Oryctolagus cuniculus: one gene and its partners. The protein of the gene in region 2 binds, or shares a complex with, the protein of the main gene of each other region. Links are inferred from orthologs where the notes say so. Each region holds a gene or a part of one and is shown on either strand. Other genes may lie near its edges.

The links.
Region 1: WASHC5 (region 2) and WASHC4 share a complex: the UniProt entries of both Homo sapiens proteins name them as parts of the WASH core complex. The link is inferred for Oryctolagus cuniculus from reciprocal best matches to the Homo sapiens genes WASHC5 and WASHC4.
Region 3: WASHC5 (region 2) and WASHC1 share a complex: the UniProt entries of both Homo sapiens proteins name them as parts of the WASH core complex. The link is inferred for Oryctolagus cuniculus from reciprocal best matches to the Homo sapiens genes WASHC5 and WASHC1.
Region 4: WASHC5 (region 2) and WASHC3 share a complex: the UniProt entries of both Homo sapiens proteins name them as parts of the WASH core complex. The link is inferred for Oryctolagus cuniculus from reciprocal best matches to the Homo sapiens genes WASHC5 and WASHC3.

Annotation. Positions count from the first base shown.
Region 1 is NC_091442.1:107,790,694-107,794,256, reverse strand, and holds part of WASHC4 (WASH complex subunit 4), read right to left. Parts: intron 3,085-3,563; coding exon 2,945-3,084; intron 1-2,944. UniProt on the Homo sapiens protein: Acts as a component of the WASH core complex that functions as a nucleation-promoting factor (NPF) at the surface of endosomes, where it recruits and activates the Arp2/3 complex to induce actin polymerization, playing a key role in the fission of tubules that serve as transport intermediates during endosome sorting.
Region 2 is NC_091437.1:150,727,853-150,731,415, forward strand, and holds part of WASHC5 (WASH complex subunit 5), read right to left. Parts: intron 2,098-3,563; 5' UTR 1,970-2,097; coding exon 1,784-1,969; intron 980-1,783; coding exon 834-979; intron 214-833; coding exon 129-213; intron 1-128. UniProt on the Homo sapiens protein: Acts as a component of the WASH core complex that functions as a nucleation-promoting factor (NPF) at the surface of endosomes, where it recruits and activates the Arp2/3 complex to induce actin polymerization, playing a key role in the fission of tubules that serve as transport intermediates during endosome sorting.
Region 3 is NC_091440.1:106,635,196-106,639,530, forward strand, and holds the start of WASHC1 (WASH complex subunit 1), read right to left. Parts: upstream 2,823-4,335; 5' UTR 2,692-2,822; intron 2,491-2,691; exon of another isoform or gene 2,358-2,490; intron 1,194-2,357; exon of another isoform or gene 1,172-1,193; intron 524-1,171; 5' UTR 519-523; coding exon 370-518; intron 1-369. UniProt on the Homo sapiens protein: Acts as a component of the WASH core complex that functions as a nucleation-promoting factor (NPF) at the surface of endosomes, where it recruits and activates the Arp2/3 complex to induce actin polymerization, playing a key role in the fission of tubules that serve as transport intermediates during endosome sorting.
Region 4 is NC_091442.1:105,008,129-105,012,176, reverse strand, and holds the start of WASHC3 (WASH complex subunit 3), read left to right. Parts: upstream 1-1,203; 5' UTR 1,204-1,323; coding exon 1,324-1,374; intron 1,375-1,897; coding exon 1,898-1,996; intron 1,997-4,048. UniProt on the Homo sapiens protein: Acts as a component of the WASH core complex that functions as a nucleation-promoting factor (NPF) at the surface of endosomes, where it recruits and activates the Arp2/3 complex to induce actin polymerization, playing a key role in the fission of tubules that serve as transport intermediates during endosome sorting.

The DNA of each region.
Region 1 (3,563 bases), on a different chromosome or scaffold from region 2:
AACCAGTGGATGGAAAATCTCTCTGCTCTCCCTCTCTTTGTAACTGCCTCTCAAATAAATACATCTTTAAAAAAAAAAAAAAAAGAGCAAATATAATAAAATAATTCCTCAACAATGGAACTACAAAGAGGTTCCTGATAAAGCAAATGGGTGTGCATGATAAAAGAACCCTTCTGTAGAAGAAGATTGTGAGAGATGATTTTGTTTCTTTACTAAAGTAAGAGTTGAGGCAAACACACTTTTATGACCAAAGGGTGCTTTATAGTCCAAGAGCCAAGTCTTTAAAAAAGCTCCAAAGTTGAAACAGGTCAGGTTATTCATAGAAATAATGCTTTAAAAGCCACAAAGCTTCACATTGCTTTAACATTTATTTATTTATTTATTTGAAAGTCAGCATTATAGGGAGAGAAGGAGAGACAGAGACAGATCTTCTATCCACTGTTTCACTCCCCAGATGGCCCCAACAGCCAAGGTTGAGCCAAACTGAAGCTAGGAGCCAGAGAGCTTCACACGGGTTTCCTAAAATCATACGCTATAAACATCCTACAGACTATAGAATAGAGGACAAAATCTATCAATTTTTTTTTTTTCCTAAAGATTCATTTATTTGGAAGTCAGTTACAGAGAGAGGGAGAGATGAGATTGTCCTGGGCCAGCGCCATGGCACAGTAGGTTAATCCTCTGCCTGTGGTGCCAGCAACCCATATGGGCGCTGGTTCTAGTCCCTGCTGCTCCTCTTCCAATCCAGCTCTCTGCCATGCCCTGGGAAAGCAGAAGATGGCCCTAGTTCTTGGGCCCCTGCACCCACATGGGAGACACAGAAGAAGCTCCCGGCTCCTGGCTTCCGATTGGCATAGCTCCGGCTGTTGCGGCCATCTGTGGAATGAACCAACGGAAGAAAGACCTTTCTCTCTGTCTCTCGCTCTCACTGTCTGTAACTCTACCTCTCAAATAAATATATAAAATCTTAAAAAGAAAATAAATATCGTCCATCTGCTGGTTCACTCCTCAAATGGCTGCAACAGCCAGTGACTGAAGCTAGGAGCTTTTTCTGCATCTCCCACATGGGGAGCAGGGGCCAAGCACTTTGGCCATCTTCTGCTGTTTTTCCCAAGCCATTAGCAAGGTTTTGGATCAGATATGGAGCAGCTCGGACTCGAACTAGTGTCCATATGGGATACTGGCATTGCAGGTGGCAGCTTTACCCACTATGCCACAACACTGGCCTCTGTCATTTCAATTCTCATGTTGTCAGAGAATGGTCAGAGTACTACACCCTAACAGTCAATCAATATACAGTTACATCAATAAACTTTGGCTGTAATCTCTTAAATTGGGCCAATTCAAGATAGAAATGTTTAGGTATAAAGGACAGTATTTATGAGCAATAAAAAGTTTCCACAAGCCGGCGCCGCGGCTTACTAGGCTAATCCTCCGCCTAGCGGCGCCAGCACACCGGGTTCTAGTCCCAGTTGGGGCGCCGGATTCTGTCCCGGTTGCCCCTCTTCCAGGCCAGCTCTCTGCTGTGGCCAGGGAGTGCAGTGGAGGATGGCCCAGGTGCTTGGGCCCTGCACCCCATGGGAGACCAGGAGAAGCACCTGGCTCCTGGCTCCTGCCATCGGATTAGCGCGGTGCGCTGGCCGCAGCGCGCCAGCCGCGGCGGCCATTGGAGGGTGAACCAACGGCAAAGGAAGACCTTTCTCTCTGTCTCTCTCTCTCACTGTCCACTCTGCCTGTCAAAAAAAAAAAAAAAAAAAAAAGTTTCCACAAAAGAAAGTTAACCTCATTCTCAGTCCTACAGCTTTTAGAATAAGGACCTTCCTTGCTGAAATTGGTTAGGACAGTACATGGGGCATAATACTGCCATTACTGAAAGCTAAAACATGTAAACATTCTGTGATAAAATGTCTTACTGGCCCTTCGCAAGAGAAAAAGAAACAAAGTGCTGACATATGGTCCAACACAGATGAGCTTTGAGACAATATGCTAACTGACAGAAGCCAGCCACAAAGGACCACATATTCTATGAGTCCTCTTATAGGAAATGTCCACAGAAACAGAAAGTAGAGGCCTGACGTTGGCTAGGGCTGGTAAGTGTTGGCATGGCATGCCTTATGGAAGTGAGGGGACTACTAATAGGTACAAGATTTCTTTCTTTTAGGTAGTAAAAATGTTCTCAAATTGACCATGGTAATGGTTGAACAATTCTGTAAAAACATCAAAACCACTGAGTTGTACAACTTGATTGGATGAACTGAGTGATACGTGAAACTCAGAAACACCATCTTAACAAAGTCAATGCGTGTGATCCCAGGACAATGTCAAGTTATGTGGTAAGTGTTCAGAAAATATCAGTTATTATTTAAGCAATAATAGACCACGGTTTCAATGACAGACTAAGAACTTTCTCAATGGAAACAGAGTAAGAATGATTTATTTTATACACATTAAAAAAGTACTCACACATCAAGATCACCTAGATAGCAGGACAGAACTTTCTGGAAATTATGAGAATATACTACATCTTAATTGGGATATGAGTTACATGGGTATGCATGTCTGGCAAAACTCTTTCACCAATATTCTTAAAATCCATGCATTTCCATGTATGTAAAATAACCTCAATAAGAAACAAATAAAAGCCTGAATATTCTATCCAGCTGTCCTCTTCTTCTTGATGATAAAAAACAAAGGCCAGTTTGAAAAGTTGGACTTTGTGCCATTCTTTAACAATAAAGGCTTTGAGTCTCTATCATTCTTTAAAAAAAAAAATAGCAAATTAAAAACACCTAGGTGGCTTAACGAAAACGAAATTAAAATCTTTTCCAAGTTTCTTTTAATACTTAGATTTCAAGTAAAAATATTTTGCCATTTAAAAAGCTGCTTTGAGGATCTAGTTTGTCCTGAAAACATAAACATAAAGAGAAAGAAATTTCAATCAAACCTTTAATGCTATAGGATCAAGATTGAAATCCCAGACGTCTCCAATAGAATCATCAAGCGCATCCTCGATTCTTCTCAGTTGAGACGTATACTCCTCGAGAAATTTCCCGTAATTCTTAAGCTGGACTTCAGCATGAATTTCTAAATTTAAATGTTAAAACGGTATGTGGTAAGTTCAAGAAATGAGTTACAGAGCATTTACTTCAAATAATCTCAAAAGTCACAACAAAGCATTGTTAATTATTACTTTGGAAGGTAGGAACTTCTGAAAAACTTCAAAGTTAAACAATAATGCAGTGTTCCATCTTCTCCAAATACATTAAATAATTTTAAAAGCAGTAGCCCATACAACCCATTACCATGTAACTGTCTGGACAATGCCTTAGACAACGTAATGTCTCTATGTTCTAGTTCTAAATGACTTTATTACCCTCCCCCCCAAAAATACGCAGGTGTAAAAATCTGTGTTGTCACAGAACTAGTACTTTAAAATGTTGCTTCTATACACAGTAAACTGCTTCAATAAACTAACCTTTGTTAAAATGGAGGTTTCAGATCTTCAGCATAACAATAATCACTCCCATAATGCCTATATTTACCAACATATTTATTTAATCATT
Region 2 (3,563 bases):
TAATTATCAGTTGGTTTTGCTTCTCTTTAAAGAATGATATTCTGTATATATTTGTGACTTACAAGGAAAAAAATGACGCTAAGTTTGACATTCTTGAATTTCCGTTTTAAATGGTCACCATTACTCACCAGAAGTTGCTTTCCATCTTCATTGAGAAGCACAGTTTCTATTGTCTGCTGAATATAGACCCCTTCATTGAGGTCATCTAGATATCTGCGAACGAAGCCCCAGAGCAAGTTATTTGTTTTAACAGAAACTTGAACATCTTGAAGAAAGAACAACTTTTAAAAAACAAGACAGGATACCAGATATTCTGGCCTTCGACAAGTTTGTGGTGTTTCATGCTCTTAAAAAATAGCATTATAAGCCATAATTCATAGTGATTTAGGGCCACAGGTTGATATTTATGCATGTTCCAAGTAAAAGGTCCTGATTTATGAATTCCAAGTATCTTAGGAATAATGACATAACAGCTTGGAATAGTTATTTAAAAGCTAATGATAATGAATTATTAAGAACTGCAGAAGACACAAAGCTAACTAAAAGACTAAGTTCCTTTCCTTCCCCTCCCCAAATGTCTCATCTATATATAATATGCTGGAATATGCTACTGAACTATAGGACTGCAACCTATATACTAAGTTTATTATGATACTTCACAGGAACAGGCATTATAAGATTCAAAAGTATTAAAGATGACTACTGCTACAAGAAAGAAAAGGCAATTGCAAATAGCAAATCTGGTAGTAACAAAAAGATGTACTTTCTACTGTGACCCTTCTCCCTCTTCACTGTTTACTATTAGAATAGGCTGTTACTAAGTTCATCAATACCTGTTTAAGTCTACAATATATTTATGCACACTTTGAAACGCTAAATAAAATCTGGTCACAATTTCTATGTTGTTTTCACGAAATTCTTCATCTAAATCCTGTAGCTCTGGTTTAGCTTCCAGTTTGCTTTCCCATAACTCTGGACCCTACGAAGAAAAACACATTTACATGAAATGTCAACAAAAGCATATGTGTTGGCAACAATTTCTTAGTAGTCTTTTGAAAAATTTGTCCTTATGTTCCTCAATATCAAAAACTTAAAGCAGAGAAACAGAAAGTCATGAAGATAACAGAAGCCTAGATATAAAATGCCTTTGACAGTAATGAAGTTGAATTGTAACCAAGACAGGCATGCTTTGAAGAGCAGAACAGTCAACGTGAAATACAGAACAGCAAACTTTTCTTTTTAAAATTTGATTATATCATGGGAAGACTTCCATGCAGTACTGTCATCTGATTTTCAAGTTAATAGGTGAGGGGCCGGCACTGGGACATAGCAGGTAAAGCTGCTTCCTGTAGTGCCGGCATCCCATAAGGGCGCCAGTTCAAGTCCCAGCTGCTCCACTTCCAATCCAGCTCTCTGCTATGGCCTGGGAAAGCAGTGGAGGGTGGCCCAAGTCCTTGGACCCCTGCATCTACATGGGACGCTCAGAAGCTCCTGGCTTCAGATCGGCCCAGCTCCAGCCACTGCGGCCATTTGGGGAGTGAACCAACGGATGGCAGACCCCTCTCTTTCTCTCTGTAACTCTGCCTTTCAAATAAATAAATATATAAACAAACAAATGAATAGCTAAATCTTAACAAAAAAAATAGCTGGTGCCACATTTGGTTCAAAAGTTTTGCTCTGTAAATCTCTCTATAATTACCTAACCTCTTAGAGTCTCATGGTTCCAAGGAAAACATGCTTGTATAGAAAAGATAGCAACAAAAATGCTACAGAAAGAGATTACCTTAAAATAGCTGAAATCAAATATGATATCTCCATATTTCTGTTGATCAACTCGGTCTTTTAACCTGAACACAGCAGGAATGAACTCCGACAGCCTCAAGAGTTCAGCAATGATGGCATTGCCGCAGGAAACAATCCTCAGGATGGCCTGGCCACAGAGGTTGTTCTCGGCTAGAAAGTCCAGCATGGTAACAGGGGTCGAGTACGCTGTCCGGACGATGAGAACAATGAGCTTGCTTCAGAGCCAGAGTCTGTAGATCAATAGATGAAACCAGGTCTGTGGATCGACCAGCTGCTCCATGAAACGACCTACATCTAAGAAATTTTAAAAAGGTATAAAAGTTTCCATGTCAAAGGACGTACCTGCATATAAACATGGCATCGTATTTTCCCTCAATCCCCCTCAAAAATTCAACTCCCCTAAAGGCTTATAATGAGTTCTGATACGGGGAGAAGGGCAAATGTTATTGACTGTTTATGTGGAGGGACTTCAACAGATTAACATTCTTGACATCTTTCTCAATCTTTTATTCACTTCTCATAAAGAAAGACAAAATTGTTCATTTTTGAGCTAGGGCAAAGGAATACATATGCAGTTCCAATGCACTCTAATTGCAGAAGCAAATCTATGATTGAATATAATAGCCAATCATTGTAAACACTACCAACAGAGCTGACATATCTCTACACATATCTTGAGGTATCTGCCCCAAGTATTTCCTAGAAATGGAATTGCAGGGCTAAGGTACAGCATGTCCAAGACTGCTTTTAAAATTACAGATGCCAGAGGCAGGCACTGTGGTACAGTGGGTTAAGTCACTGCTTGGTATGCTGCCTCCTGTATCAGAGAGCTGCTTTAAACTGGTTCCTCTGCTGACACCCCCGGGAGGCAGCAGATGAAGGCCTAAGTACTTGAGTCCCTATCACCCACATGGCAGACCCAGATGGAGTTCCTGGCTCCTGGCTCCAGCCTGGACCAGACCAGGTTGTTGCGGGCTTTTCAGGGAGTGAATCAGGGATACAAGATCTCTTTCCCTCTCTTTTCCCGCCTTTCTCTGTCACTCTACCTTTCAAACAAATAAATCAAAGAAAAGAAGAGAAAAAGAAAAGGAGAAACAAACATTAGAGCTACATTCTACAAAATTCTGGAAAGATGATTTATAAATAGTAAATTAAAAAGGTCCCAAATCTCACATAACTCAGCACACAGGTGTCTAGTTCTGTTAGCACAATTATTTTATTTCTCCTTTATCTAACGCACTGAGGATGGTCAGATCACTTAGTGCACTAAATAATTACTGGCAACAGGTCATTATTGAAGGCAACGGTTGCTATGCTTTACCTTGCCACTCCTTGCTGAGCACCTGTTTGCCAAGCTGGATATGAAACTGTTTAAGCAACTCACTTTTTTTTTAAAGATTTTTATTTATTTGAGAGGTAGAGTTACAGACAGTAAGTGAGTGAGTGAGAGAGAGAGAGATTTTCCTTCCGTTGGTTCACTCCCCAAGTGGCCGCAATGGCCAGAGCTATGCCGATCCAAAGCCAGGAGCCAGGTGCTTCCTCCTGGTCTCCCACGCGGGTGCAGGGCCCAAGCACTTGGGCCATCCTCCACTGCCTTCCCGGGCCACAGCAGAGAGCTGGACTAGAACTGGTGCCGCAGGCGGAGGATTAACCAAGTGAGCCACGGCGCTGGCCCTGCAACTCACTTTCTAGTGCAGAGGTTCTCAAGTCTGACTGCACAGCACAATCACTTAGAATATTATAGTTTCTGGAAGAAGGTT
Region 3 (4,335 bases), on a different chromosome or scaffold from region 2:
AGCTGCACAGGGCCTCATTCACCGCTGTACTTGAAGACAGGAGCATAGTGCCTCGCACACCAGCTCTGAGCAAGTGTTTGCTGGCTGCAGGACTAAGTGCAGGAACAGGGCCCCTTGATGGAAGTCAGCACGAGATGGATGGGAAGGCAGTGCCACCACTGGGACCCATGGGACACATGCGGGACAGTAGGCAGGGAGCTCTCAGGCACTTCTGAGAAAGAGCTTCCAGGCCGAGCTCCTGCCTTGGGCGACTCCTGCACAGGGAACACAGCTGGGCCCCGGGTCCAAGAATCACCATAGGAGCTGTTGCCAGAAGGTGCGTTCTTGGGCCTGGGTACGGGACTGCTCAGGACGGTGGGCAGCACCCACCTGCTAAAGATATCACCAGAGACCTTCTGCAGGTACTGCAGGGCGTCCGCCACCTGCTGGATGGCCTCCTCGCGCCGCAGGTCCGGCTGGATGAGGGCCACTGCGTAGGTCTGGCCGGCCAGGCTGGGCTGCGTCCTCATGGGAGTCATGGTGCCTGTGGGCAGGAACTGGAGCGTGAGCACCTCCCCACACCCGCCCACAGGTGGTGTCGGGGTGAGATCCCAGCCATCACTCCAGCCGCCCTTCTGGGGTGCAGGAAGTTAGGAAAAGCCTCTTCGCAGATTCTGGGGCTCTCTGCGGGCCCAGGAGAGGGTGCAGAGGGGCTCCTAGGCAGAACGAGCAGCCTGAACAAAGACCTAAGCATCCTTGGAGAAGCAGCAGGACAAAGATCAGAGAGAGACCAGACTGCAGAACACTCAGGGCTGGGAGTCTGGCCGCGAGCCAGGAATGACACCCCTGGACCTGCTCTGTCCAAAACGGTAACCACCGGCCACATGCAGCTGCCGACCACGTGGGATGTGATTAGCTGAGCTCTGCTTCAAGTATAAAACCACGAATGTCAAAGATCCAGTGGGAAACAAAATACTGCATTAACAACTTCTGTACCAAGCTGGCGCCGCGGCTCACTAGGCTAATCCTCTGCCTTGCGGTGCCAGCACACCGGGTTCTAGTCCCGGTCGGGGCACCGGATTCTGTCCTGGTTGCCCCTCTTCCAGGCCAGCTCTCTGCTGTGGCCAGGGAGTGCAGTGGAGGATGGCCCAAGTCCTTGGGCCCTGCACCTATGGGAGACCAGGAGAAGTACCTGGCTCCTGCCATCAGATCAGTGCGGTGCGCCGGCCATGGCGGCCATTGGAGGACCTTTCTCTCTGTCTCTCTCTCTCTCACTGTCCACTCTGCCTGTCAAAAACAAAACAAAACAAAAACAAACTTCTGTACTGGTTACCTGCTGAAATTGACCACTTTGGATACATTAGGTTAAATAAAATATATTACTAATTTCACATGGTTTGCATTAACTTTTTATTTATGTGACAGGCAGAGACAGTTGAGACAACTGGAAACAAGCGCCCATCCACTGGTTCACGTCCCTCAAAACCCACACCAGCTTGTGGCTGAATCTGGTGCCTGGGAACTCCATGCAGGTCTCCCACGCAGGTGGCAGGAACCCAGTTCCTGGAGCAGTCACTGGTGCCTCCCAGAGCCTGCATCAGCAGGAAGCTGGCAGCAGGATCCCAACGAGGAATCAAGCCCAGGAGCTCTTGGTTAAGGGACGTGAGCTTCTTATCTGCCAGGCCAAATACCTGCCTCTCTTCTTTTAGAATCACGTGGCTCGCAGTTTTTCGTTAGTCTAGGTAGGAAATGAGCCTCTGTTCCTCTTTCCTTGCACGTTACCCTAACCATCAAGACTAATCTTAACATTTTACGGCCCCTTTCTTCTGCTATGTACCTTCACAACAAACCCCCTGTCATCTTCTATTTCTGCATCTAAGCACCAAGCCGGTAAACCAATCAATCACCTCTCTTGCCTGCGGGGCTCATCGCAAAAGCATCCTGGGTAACCTCTTCCCCAGACCCAATCGACAGCTGAGGAGACACAGGGGGATTTAAGATTCCTCAGGAGTCGTCTTCCACAGAGGAGGTTTGCAGCCAGAAATCCTAACTACTCAGTTCCAAAACCCATGACTGTCACCCCCGGTTCTTACATACTTTCTGGTTATCTGTTTTTCTATTATTTTTTAATGCATGGCACAAACACATTAATAATCCTTAAAAACGGTGTTTTTCTTGCGTCTAGGCCATGCTCAATATTTTTTTTTTCCAGATTTTAAAAACTCTGCCACGACCGTTAGGTATTTATCGTGAACTGCACCACGCTCGTTCTCCCCCGCCCCTTACAGCACCGTCTCGGAGACTCTCGCCCCGGCGTGCACACGCACCGCACCCCTGTCTCCGTGGGGTCCCTGGGGTCCGCGCCTCGGCTTCCAAACCTGCGCTGCGGGCCGTCAGGCCCCAACTGCGGCGGCAGAGCGCGGGGTCACCGCACCTCGGGCACCGGCCAGGCCCCCGCGGGTGCCCGGTGCAGGCGGGAGCCCTCGCCCCAGGGATCCCCGGCCCAGCGCCGAGGCCCTGGCCGGAACCGCGACTCCCGGCAGTCCGTAAGTCCGGGGGGCCCGCCGGGGCCCGCCGGAGACTCCTAAGGGCAGCCGCGCGCGAGGGCAGAGGTCGCGGGCCGCCCGAGGCATGGCCGCTTCCGGGGTCCGGGCTGTCTCCTGGGCCGGCGCCACCCCCGCCGCCCCCGCCCCAGTTCTCTGCACCCCTTACCCGCCTCGTCGCCCTGGACGCGGGGCCGCGCTCCCCCTCCGGCCACGCCCACGTGCGCGCGGCCCAGGGGGCCGGCTCCTCCCCCCGCGCCCCGCCGCGCGTCTGCGCGCTCCCGCCGCGGCGCCGCCGGGTCCTAGCACCGCCCTGCCTCTGCGCCTGCGCAGGTCGCCCGTGGGCTGGCGGAACTGTGCGAGGCCGGCGCCGGGTCCACCTGCGCGGCGGGCGGCGGAGTCTCCCGTGTCCCGAGCGTCAGGGGGTGTGTGCGTGTGCACGCGCCCTGGGGCAGCACACCCAGCCCGGGTCCCGGAGCCGCTGCTCCTCTCCGGCTGCCCTACGAAACCGCTCTAACAAATCTTTTAGCCTACGCTGATTTTCTTGTCCTTACCTGCGTGGGAGTTTGCCCCCGGCCCACATTCAGAGTTTACATCCTTTACGCATTATAGGAAAAGCAGTGACTATAGTTACTATAAGGCAAATTCATCCTTCCCTAATAGTTTTATCTGACAGATTATTTGTAAATATTTATAATTAAAGCTCTCTTTAAAAATAATACAAGTTTCAATTAAAAATGTATGAATTCTTTCCTTTTTATACAGATTCAATAGTATTTTCAAGCAAACAGATTTTTTTTTTTTTGGACAGGCAGAGTGGATAGCGAGAGAGAGATGTGGGGAGCAACTCGGACTATACTGTTACTGGAATTAAGACTTATTCTATGCATCTGCTCTCCCACAATATGGCGCTAGGAGAGGAGTAAACAGCTTCTACCCAGCTACCTCTCACCAACTTGACAAGCTGCAGGAGCTGCTCCTGATTGGAGGAGAGCGGCGTGCTCGACGTGTGGGCAGCCGAGTTGGGATTGGCGGAGGAGGACTATATAGGAGGAGAGAGACGGCATAGTGGTGTGGGTTGGTTGGAGAGTGCGTTGGAGAGTTCGCGGGGAAGTTCGTTACTTCGTTCTTTCTCATTTCTCTCTACTCATTCTCGCTTTGGGAGTTTGCTGTTTACTTATTCTTACTTTAGAAAGGACTTGTAAAAAAAAGGGAACAACAAGCGCCCGGTCCGGTGCGGCTCCTCCGCGTGCGGAGGAGCAGCAAGAGAGACAGAGAGAAAGGTCTTCCTTTGCCGTTGGTTCACTCTTCAATGGCCGCCGCGGCCGGCCAGCGCACTGCGCTGATCCGATGGCAGAAGCCAGGAGCCAGGTGCTTTTCCTGGTCTCCCATGGGGTGCAGGGCCCAAGCACCTGGGCCATCCTCCACTGCACTCCCTGGCCACAGCAGAGAGCTGGCCTGGAAGAGGGGCAGCCGGGACAGAATCCGGCGCCCCAACCAGGACTAGAACACGGTGTGCCGGCGCCGCTAGGCGGAGGATTAGCCTAGTGAGCCGCGGCGCCGGCAAGCAAACAGACTTTAAAACAGGTTGCATAGCCGGCGCCGCGGCTCACTAGGCTAATCCTCCGCCTTGCGGCGCCGGCACACCGGGTTCTAGTCCTGGTTGGGGCGCCGGATTCTGTCCCGGCTGCCCCTCTTCCAGGCCAGCTCTCTGCTGTGGCCAGGGAGTGCAGTGGAGGATGGCCCAGGTGCTTGGGCCCTGCACCCCATGGGAGACCAGGATAAGTACCTGGCTCCTGCCATTGGATCAGTG
Region 4 (4,048 bases), on a different chromosome or scaffold from region 2:
AAGTTAAAATGCAAATTTCTGGACTCATTCAGCATAAGTCTTGATGTAGTTTATCTGGGGTTAATCAATTGCTGGAATGTACATTTTCAGAAGTACCACCCACTCCTAAATAATTAAAGCAGGAAATCTCTAAGACACTTAGAGCAACACAGATCATAGTATAAAAATTGGCCTTCACTGAGATTCTCCTTTTTTCCCACCTCATTTCTTACTTTTTTCCACTTCTGGGACTTTCTGCTTCCACAAAAGCAAAAATTTTGCATTTCCTTTATGTACCAAACCCCCTCACACCTCTCTGCCTTTGTCCGAAGGTCTACCACAAACTGCCTACCATCTCCTAATGTGACATGGGTGCTGAACAGCTGCCGTGGCCAATGTTCTCAGAGGACCCAGGAGCACCTTTCCCCTGTAGCACCACAGCACTTTGTTTCCGAGAGGATGCAGGTGTACACAAGTGTTTGCGTGTGCCTCTCTGCTCACCCACAACTTTCACAGTATTTTGCTTGCACGTCTAACTCTGCTATGTGTGTCTTCCCTACACCATATACAGTTCTTGAAGTCTTCGTCTCTCGGTAGGGACCACCTTGACTGGGTTCCAAATTCTGGTTACGTGACTTGCCCCACGTTGCAGAGCTGGAAAATCGTTTTGCATGGTCAAAATCTGGGCCAAGATATTCAAATTCCAGGTGCAAGGTCTTTCCGGAACACTGTGAGCGCGTTTCTGACGACACTGCTACAGGGTGAGCACCCTGCATATTTTACGCCTCACCGGCAGCGTTTGCCATGGTTTTATCACAGTGTTAAATGTCTTTGGAGACAGGTCTTACCTCCTCCAGAGCAGGAGCCTCCTCAGTGTGCTGACTCAAGCTGACTCAATCTTTGTATTCCGCGCAGGCCTAGCGCGTAGTAGGATTAAAAAAAAAAAAAAAAAATTGTTCAACCAATGACACTGTTTATACAACAGACAGAGCTAAGTAGGGATCATTTCAAACGGGCCAATTCTTGATCGTACTTTCCACGCTTGCCCCGTCCCCACCCCTCACCCCAACATTCAAGAAGTTAACTGCTAGAAAGGCTGCAGCCCGAGTCCCCGACCAACGTCACAATCCAGACCAAGAACTACCCGCCCCAGAATGCCGAGCGAAAGTGGGCGGGCTTTCCGTGAGCCGAGGTTGTGATTGGCGAGCGGAGGGGTTTCCTTCCGGTGGGAAGGGCCACGGAGGCGGGGACTTGAGGAGGTGTTGCGACGCGATTACCGGGTTGGGCGGGGCCCTTCTGGGAGGGGTGTGTGGGTGAGCCTGGGTCCTCCCGCCCGCCGAGGAGATGGATGAGGATGGGCTTCCACTCATGGGGTCGGGCATAGACCTGACCAAGGTTTGTAGAAGACCGAGATGAACTTCCGGTGACTGGGGAGGAGGGGGCTGGGGAAGGGACGTCCGGTTCCCCGGGAGACCCCACTTCTCCAGGCCCTATCTTGGCCCTGGGCCCCTGTTCGGCTGACTTAGGAGGCTGAGTGCCACAATCACTTTCCTTGAAGAGGGACCCTCTCGAGTTGACTTAGTTGATGAGGGTCCTCTGTGAGCTCTCACTTCCTGTGTCATTGCCCGCCGGAGACAGACTGGTTGCGACCTTTAACCTCTCTTTTATCTAATCCCAGGTTTTGTGTATTTATATATGTTGGTTTAACCTGCTAAAAATCCGTGCTCGTGAATCTAGGGCGCGTTGTAAAAATGTTTCTGCAGGTGACACCCCACCCACAGTTTGGGAAAACAAGCTAATGACTATTCGTAGTCCAAGAAATTCATATCACACGGCAAAATGTTCCGCTATGATGTCTGAAGGGATTGGGCGATCTACGTTCCTCCTGCCAAATCATGTTTGTTTTTACGTAACACAGGTGCCAGCTATTCAACAGAAAAGAACGGTGGCATTTCTTAACCAGTTTGTGGTGCACACTGTACAGTTCCTCAACCGCTTTTCGACAGTGTGTGAGGAGGTAGGTCTTGTGATACTGGGTTGTGGCATAGTGTAGCCGTCTCTTTGCCCTTCTGCGGTTGACAAATGGAGGAAAACACGAGCTACAGTCTCTGCATTCATCTACTGTGACCTCCCATCACACAGCAAATCCTCTTTGATTCTGTTAGGCTCAGTCCTGTACCTACCTCTGCTGAGCTTGGGATCCAGAGACCTCTGAGTGAGAGTTAAATCCAGCTTAGTGAAATTAAACAGAACAAAAGAGAATCCCCATCTTTTATTTGCAAAGCTATTTGTTCTCCTACCCAAAGATTTATATTTGAGAGTACACATTGTTTCTGTTTATAATAAAATTATTTTACATTCCTTCATCCAAAAGATGGCTAAGGGGTGGTAGCCCAGAAACATAACTTTGGTGTCAAATCTCATTTTAGGAGTAAAAACATTTTCTGCAAATGACTTGAGAAGTGAAGATTCAGTACCCAGTTACAGCTGTCTTTTAAAAAAACTAAAAAACATGGGGAGGAACACGTGAAACATGGTTTGAAATTGAGTTTAAGAAAAGAAAAAGAAAACTAAATCATAGTACTTAGATAATTCACAAGTGAGTCAGTTGAACATTCTGTCTTATAAAAAACGTAAAGGTTTACCAAAATAGAATTTGTGATAGCTGCATTTTTATTAATAAAAGCTGCATGGAGACAGGAAAACTGTTTTAAGATTATTTATTTATTTATTTATTTATTTGCAAGGCAGAGTGGCAAAGAGTGAAGGAGAGACAGAGGAGGAGAGAGGTCTTCCATCTGCTGGTTCACTCCCCAAATGGCCACAACAGTCAGGTCTGGGCCAGGCTGAAGCCAGGAGCTCCATCCGGGTCTCCCACATGGGTGCAGGGGCCCAAGTACTTGGGCCATCTTCTGCTGCCTTCCCAGGAGCATTACCAGGAAACTAGATGGGAAGTGCAGGGGTCAGGACTCAACCTGGCTTTCAATATAGGATGCCAGCATCCCAAGGAGAGGCTTAACCTGCTGTTTGACAATGCTAGCCACTAGTTATCAAAATGTTTTCTGCTTTCCCATTAAGACAAAAGAAAATGAAATAGATAATCGATAAAGAAAGGCATTCAATTCACTGCATTTTGTATTAATAGGCCCAGAAACCATCTCAGGACTGTTAGCAGAGAGGAACAAATGCTCCATCCCTGTAGTCCTGGTTAAAAAAGAAAAGCAAGGCAGGTGCCACGGCTCAATTGGCTAATCCTCTGCCTTGCAGCGCCAGCACACCGGGTTCTAGTCCCAGTCGGGGCACCATATTCTGTCCCGGTTGCCCCTCTTCCAGGCCAGCTCTCTATTGTGGCCAGGGAGTGCAGTGGAGGATGGCCCAAGTGCTTGGGCCCTGCACCCCATGGGAGACCAGGAGAAGTACCTGGCTCCTGCCATCAGATCAGCGCAGTGCGCCGGCCGCAGCAGCCATTGGAGGTTGAACCAACGGCAAAGGAAGACCTTTCTCTCTGTCTCTCTCTCTCTCACTGTCCACTCTGCCTGTCAAAAAAAAAAAAAAAAAAAAAAAAAAAAAAAAAAAAAAAAGCAAAACAAGCAACACACCTATGAAAGCAACTTGATTGTGTTGCCCTAAGGCAGGGATCACCCCTACCAGTTTTCAGTTCCTGCGGAATGAGTCTCTGACAAAGTGAACAAGAATCTCATTGATGAGAGCCTTGTGAGTCACTCTTTCTGTTCCTCTTTCAACTTCTCTTGCAACTGTTCTAGTGGTATCCCATTTCTTAATACTTCCTGAAACTCTAGAGAAAAGTCTGTTGACCAAAAGCTCATGTAGTTTAAAGGTAGTCCATTGCCTCTTCTCCTTTTTTTTTTATCTTAAGGGGGAAGATAATATTATTTTAATTGACAAAAGTTATATGTTCTTATGGTGTACATGAGGTTTTGGTATTTGTATACATCATGGGATGGCTAAATCAAACTGTCTATGTATGTATGTATTACCTCACACACTTATCCTTTCTTTTGGTGAGAACACTTTAAAATCTACTCAGCAATTTTCATGAGTATAATAT